Nothobranchius furzeri: one gene and its partner. Each later gene encodes a partner of the first gene's protein in a complex. Links are inferred from orthologs where the notes say so. Each region holds a gene or a part of one and is shown on either strand. Other genes may lie near its edges.

Region 1 (4,141 bases):
CATGCACGGATTGATGGAAGTGTTTTGCTCTTTTACTTCTCCGTCTCCTGGAGAGTGTTGCAAAGCAATTGTCCGGCAGGACAACAGAGGGCGTAGCGCTGTTCTGTGGTATCCTGTCATGTATCGGTCCAAGATCGTGTGTTTATATTGTGTTTTTGTGTATATAAGAGACTTTTAACACGGACATATTTGTCTCTCGTTCTCCCACCGCTTCATGCGCTCCCCACCTCTAAACCCACGTTTCCTGTCATTTCCGTCCACAAATAAAACGCTTGCTGCGCATCTTTTCACTCCTCCAGTCACGGGAGAATTAAAAGTTCATATTTTTAGAGTTTTTTCGCGAGGTATTCTTCAAGCTTCTCCGTGTCTGCTGCTAGTTATCCTCGGCTCTCTTTGCAATGGCGGCGCTGTAAACAACAGCGGTGTCCTGACCAATGACAAGCTTGCGTAATCCGTCTCGTTCGACGGATGTTTAAAAAAGTGGGCTTGACTCCGTACGTACTTGCGGGCCTGCCGGAGCCCTACGCAAGGACGGATAATGGCGTTGCGTGTCTCCGCACTGACGGAGACGGAGAAGCATAAATCAGGCTTAAGTACAGATGTGTCTTAGGAGTGTCAGTGCTCAGAAAATGAATATCCGTGAATATCCCTGCACATTGCACCAAAACATGTGTGAGCGCCATACTTAAAAAATAAACTGAACAGAGGTCTGTTTTTGCTTTACATACACCACCGGTTTGTTTTGCCTTCATTCTGCCCTCATTGCTTGAGCTGACTTTTTAAAGCAATAGCCTGTCCTTCAGAAGAGGTGGAGGGTTCCATCATTTTGAAAGCATAACATCAGAACAGAATGCTTGCAACGAATACGACTAAATAATTTCAATAACAGTTCTTTTTATTATTACATTGTGTTTGTGAATTTTGGGAATTTTAACTGAGATGTACACTAGATATGTTTTGCCAAACTCTTTCACATGTGAAGATTTTAATAACAATATATTGATAGTTATTAACATTGTCAAGCATCCACAGCATCGTTAACTTGATAAAACACCTCAAGAGCTACATAAAATTGCTACTGATTTTAAAAGTGTAATTTTATAGAGCACTGTCGTGATATTAGATTAGAAAGTGTGAGATGATTCAGTTATTGAGATTAAAGAACTCTCCTAACATGACCATTCAATGTTAAACCCAAAAACATTGTTGAAGAGTTGAGAAAACATGCCCTGATCTCTTCTGCGTTTCTTTGGATTGCGTGGGTGTTTTGCAGTGACTCACCTTCTTTCTAAACACTGTTTCCGTTATATTGGATCCCACAGCTCCCATATAACTCAAATAACTCAGAAAAAAATAAATCATGTAGAGACTTGATGCAGTTGGAGTAAAAGTGTGTGTGAGCGTGTGTGCAAGTGAGAGAGGAAAAAGAGAAAGTGAGTGTTCGTCTGACTCTCAGGTCTGTTTGAAGTGGCTTTGTGCTTTGAAGTCGATCCTGGAGAGGCTAAGCCCTCTGCGGAGCAGGTCCAAAGTGAGCTTCCATGAACCAGAACTCAAAGTTCTCCTCATATCTCGACACATTCCCCTGGAGAGTGTGTTCACTCTGTGCTCTAGTCTGCACCTTCCATTCACTAAATAAATCAGATTTAATGCTAATCACGTTTTTCAGCATTTATTCTTTCTGACTGTGTCAGCTCTTGAATGTTTTTAAACGTGAGATGATGAATGGGTCTACATCCAAACTACAAGACCAGACTGTTGTATTCACCACCTCATCTGGATTAACTTCTTTCAAGAAGCTGTTGCTCAATATAGGAGCTCTTATACTGATCCATACTTAATGCTTATTAAACAGAATGACCTTAGCACTGTGAAAAGGTTAAAATAATTTGTTTAAGGTGGGCCAGTTTAATAAAGGGTACAGTTAAATTACCACGATATTTAACATTTAATCTTGACATTTTATTACATGTATACATTATTTTACAGGTAATCCAAACAAATGCACTACATTTTTATTTCATGATGGTTTTAAGCATTCAGTTACTCATTTATCACCTGCAGAATTTGGCGTCTTATTAAAAGAAATAAAAGCATAACAATCTGAATTCTTACAGGACCTGAAGAATCTGAACGTTTTATATTGTAAACAACTATTTATGAGGTCACCTGAGACCATCAAGATTGAGAATTCACATGATTTCTGTTTAGGTGTCTGCAAGTACACTCTACCAGCCTGGGCAGAGCTGGGATTTATGTCTTGTTTATATGAAAACAGAGAGCCTACCTTTTTGAGACAAGCCATCCGAGGTCGGTACCTCTGTCCATGATCCCGGAGAGCGTTTCTAATGGTCATACTGTTTGTTTTTTATACACTCACAGATTTAAATATAACGCTGCTGTTGCCTGTGAGCTCTGTGTCGTGTGAGGATGCTTGAGGGGAATCGATATGATCAATGCTGATGATGCGTTCAAATGTCTCAACACATCATTTGTTCGGGAGATTGGATTTTTTAGAAACATGTATTCATACATATTTTCGATTTCAAGTTCACGTTATATTGAACTTCAAGTTAGAACTTTTTATTTGGATTAGTTAAACAAAACAACAGCAAATCAGTAGGAATTATGTTCTATGCTAAAAGATTGTTGTTATTCTGTTTAAACATCCGTTCAGTGATTAAACATTTAAAATACCAAGAAATATGAAAACATTTTGAACCATATATATGCGATGAGTGGATTTATTGTTTTCGTTTTCACCTGTTGTTATTTTGTGGAGCGTCGAAGTAAAAATTGGAAGTTTTCCCATGTCCTATACTTTTGAAGGCATCACATCTACAAGGGACAAATAAAACAACCAATCAGAGAGTTGCTTTCCTCTAAGAGGGAAAGCGTGTTGAGCAGTCTTATTTTCAACCAGCAGGGGGTGCTGTTGTGTCGTGTGTAGATTCGGATTTATTCAAACTTAACTCGTGTTTTGAGACACTTGCACTTTATATTAAATGTTTCATAGAGTATATATATATATATATATATATATATATATATATATATATAACCTTTACGTTAATTGCACATGGACAGTCTCAGAGGCGCGAGTGTTCTTTGGTGGTAAATCGGTAAACTGCCTTTATCGGTTCCGCGGACGCTACTTCCTGAGTTTAGGAAAAGGGGCTTGGTCCCGTGCCCGCGCAACGCGAACGCGCATGAGATTAGCATCGATGAAGTTTGAGCGAACATGGCGGATTTCCTGCCGACCAGGTCTGTGTTAAAAGTTTGTCTACCCTTCTGTGTGCTCAGCAACGCAGAGGCGGACCAGATACGAAAGTCTAAAGAGATCGACAAAGGTCTGAACCGGGAGAAGACGCATGTGAAACGCTTGGTTAAAATCCTTCTGCTGGGCGCTGGCGAGAGCGGCAAGTCGACTTTCCTTAAACAAATGCGGATCATCCACGGCGATGACTTCGACGCGAAAGCCCGAGAAGACTTCAGATCAACGATTTACAGCAACGTTATTAAAGGTAACCTCACTTCTGACCAAGTTTACTTTATAACGGGTGGAATAAACCACTTGTTCTGGACCTAAAAGCCGCAGAAAGGCGTTTAAACGGATGGAAACGTTTCCACATCTGCGTTTAGCTGCTGAGAAGACACCCATAAACAGTCCACATCTGCTCTCGGCACACCCTACTCAGCCAGGTTTCAGCTCCAACATGCCCTTCTCTCTGTTTATTACCCTGCTATGATTTAATAACCAGCTTTATCATAACCGTAGAGTTTGTACTTTCTAAAGAGGCACGTTTAGTTGCTCAACGGAGGGTTGCCGTGGTTTAAGCTAGGTGTTCCTGTTTGTCCGCTGGTTAAAAAACACCAGCGGAAAGTCAATTTACTCCACAATGTTAGTTTCCATTAAACATGACCTTAAACTTCCATAATGCAGCGTGTTTTTTTAACCTTTGACAGCTTTTACATGGAATGAAGGCATTGTTTTACCATTTAAACAGTATTGATTTTAAAGGTTCGTGTTGCCACATTTGTAATGCTAAAGCTAATGATTCCATTTTATTAAATCACTTAAATTAACTCAATATTACCTTTACCACTTGAAAGATAAACTAAAGTTCTTTTTTCCCAAGGCAAG
Region 2 (2,863 bases), on another chromosome or scaffold:
GCTGTGTTAAAACAGGTCCAAAGAGCCTCGTGCAGCACACGAGAACCTCAGATTAGAGGGTCCCGGTGTGCCAGCCGGGTTACTGATGATTAGAAATGTGTTAAATCGTGCAGATTTGATCATTTACATCCGTGATGATGAGGGGTAAGCCCTAGCACGTTTGACTGATTGGATTCGTACATCTAAAGCATCAGTCAGCTGAACGGGGATACCGCATGGCTAGATTTACACTTGGTCTTTTTTTTTTTACCTCCACACCTAATCCACACGGATTAGGTGTTCGGATCATCAAGGTGATAGCCAGACACTGTGAGATCATTTTAGCACTTTTTATGTATCCTCCCAAAAATAAAGTAACGACCTATTCCTCCCATCAAAAGCACCTTTTTAGGATCTATGTCCACCAGTCACTATAGTAGACTATCATCAAGTGCAATATTCCTGAACCCAGCAGAATACATTCAGAATTGGGATTGTCTAACTTTGACAACATCTTCCTCCTAGACATCTCCTCTCCGGTAGTGAGCTCCCTGCTCTGCTGTTTGTCCATCCGGGCTGCTCAGATACACTTCACGACATGTTGATAACTAAATATCCTAAAACCAAAGCCACCCCGACGATAACAAAGAACACCACCACGGCTCCGATGGACGCGGATCTCCCCTCCCTGGCGCCTCCGCTTTCATCATCCTTGGGCTCCTCCTCGCAGATGGAGATGACGCCAACGGAGGAATTTCCCACGCTCATGTTGGACTTGAGCTCGGCTCCTGCTTCCTGCTTGGCCACGACTGCCCACGGTGCCACCTGCACTTTCATCTCCATCTCCTCCACCATCTGGGTCACCTGCGTGATCTCGGTCTGCAGGTCCCGGAGGTCCGCCGTATCGATGTTACTGTCGGCCTCGTACTTCATGTTCTGGACGCTCATGGCCCGGGCTGCCACCGCGTTGGTGCTACCTGTCATCCCCGTCTGAATGAAGTGCCTCGTGGGCACCTTGATGGGGAATTCCTGCCCTATCTCCAGGGAGCGCTTCATATCCACCTCCAGGAGCTCCATGCTGCTGGAGAACAGCACCCACAGGCGCTCGTACTCGGCGCGGTCCTCCTTGCTGATGCTCTTGTCTTTGAGCAAGGAGGTCAGCTTAGTCCTGTTGGCCACGGCCAGCTCCTGGGCTTTTTTACGGGTCTTCTTCAGCTCTTCTCGCAGGTTCTGGGAATCCGATGTGCTTCCTAAAGCGATGACCAAGTGCCTGTAGCAGGCTGTGACTTTGTTTAAAGCGTCCAGCATGGTTTTGCACTCCTCTTTCCCCATGTTTGAGTTAAAAATATTGTATCCTATTAAAAAAGGTGGAAAAATAATCAAAAAGAGGTGGGAATTCGTGGAAAAGCGGTGAAATGTTTCAATTTAGTTTCCACAAAAGCGCGCTGGACGCGCTGAACCTACTCCAGCCAAAGAAAACGCATCTCTATCCATGCTCCCACCTGTGTGAAGGCAGCCACCAGAGAGCGGCTTAGAAATTAATGCTTCCGTCACCTAAATGGCTTTAGGTTACATTTAAGCTTCCCCGACACGAGATCAAACCTCCCGGGGCCGGTCCCTCTTCAGGACGGACACAATCCCACCTCCAGCGCTCCAGATCTAGCTACAGGTGCCCCACCATCCACCCGCCTTCTAATTGCGCCGCTCTCTCTTTCTCTCTCTCTCTTTGTCCGTCTAAAATGACTCCATTGTTTTAAAAAAAATGACGCGCAGCTGGATGAAACTGGTTCTTCCCTCAGTAAAAGGAGAGAAGAGTCCCAAAGCGGCTGAAAGAGGACGCCAAACGAGCCATGGTGCTTCGGTTCGGTGCTGTTTATCTGCGCGGGGAGCTGTCCACTTCAGCACCCAGAGAGCGCCTTCAGTGGTCACATGTGCGCACAAAACCAGAGCCATTCAGGGACGGGCGCAGAGATAGAGGCAGGCAGGCAAACAAAGCAGCTGCGCAGTCATTGGTCTGATCTGCTTCAGATGCCTCCTATCATTGGCTGATTCCTCCCTGGAGTGGGAGAGCTGGGATGTCCATCAGCAGGGATCTCCTTCTATCCTCAACTATTTGTCTTTTTAGTCATACAAGATTCAGATGAGCTCCGAGGAGATCAAAAAATAGCCCAGTCTGTGATGAAACAGACCCAGCCCTCACTTTAGGTGATTAGCTTTAAACAGTTTGATGAAAGTCGATGATTTGGGGAATTGTGGCACCTGCCTGCACACACCGTTAAGCCATATGAGGATGCCAGTTGTCGCACGCATTATTGGCCACTGTGCTGTTGAGTTGGCTCCTGCTGTGCTGAGAGCTGGTGTGGTGTGTTTGCCTGGTTTGCTCTTTTTGCATTATTGAAGCGGGTGGAGCCTAATGATCCAGTGCTGCAGCTTAAAGCTAATGGACTCAAGCAGCAACTGGTTTCTGGAAAATGTTTGTTATTATTATCTCTTTTTTATGCACATATTGGGTTAATTGCATGTTCACGTGGCTGTGACGTTTGCTGCATAATATCTTACAGGGTTATTTTTTGCAAGAATAGGAAGCCATTAAATCCTGCTCTTTACTGCTGAAAGCTAAACGTGACTGATTTCTTGTAACACGATTGCTGAGATGTTGGATTCGAGTGTTGGGAATGAGTCAGACCCACCTTGGGCTCTCAGAGTTAACTCATCGAAAATTCAATTTGTGAATTTCCTGAGCAGATGCCCTTTGTGGTTTTCTGGTTCTCAGACAGGTAACAGAGATTCATCAGGTTAGACACACATTTACACCCTGTGTAGACTAAAAACAAATGATTAATAAGGAACATCTCACTTTGATTTGATTATGTTGTTTTCTTGC

The links.
Region 2: rgs9b (region 1) and regulator of G-protein signaling 9-binding protein share a complex: the UniProt entries of both Homo sapiens proteins name them as parts of the RGS9-1-Gbeta5 complex. The link is inferred for Nothobranchius furzeri from reciprocal best matches to the Homo sapiens genes RGS9 and RGS9BP.

Annotation. Positions count from the first base shown.
Region 1 is NC_091756.1:45,187,568-45,191,708, reverse strand, and holds the start of rgs9b (regulator of G-protein signaling 9), read right to left. Parts: upstream 2,801-4,141; 5' UTR 2,354-2,800; coding exon 2,285-2,353; intron 1-2,284. Other genes in the region: guanine nucleotide-binding protein subunit alpha-13, read left to right, coding at 3,239-3,521. UniProt on the Homo sapiens protein: Inhibits signal transduction by increasing the GTPase activity of G protein alpha subunits thereby driving them into their inactive GDP-bound form. Binds to GNAT1. Involved in phototransduction; key element in the recovery phase of visual transduction.
Region 2 is NC_091749.1:55,570,829-55,573,691, forward strand, and holds regulator of G-protein signaling 9-binding protein, read right to left. Parts: upstream 1,448-2,863; 5' UTR 1,312-1,447; coding exon 571-1,311; 3' UTR 501-570; downstream 1-500. UniProt on the Homo sapiens protein: Regulator of G protein-coupled receptor (GPCR) signaling in phototransduction. Participates in the recovery phase of visual transduction via its interaction with RGS9-1 isoform.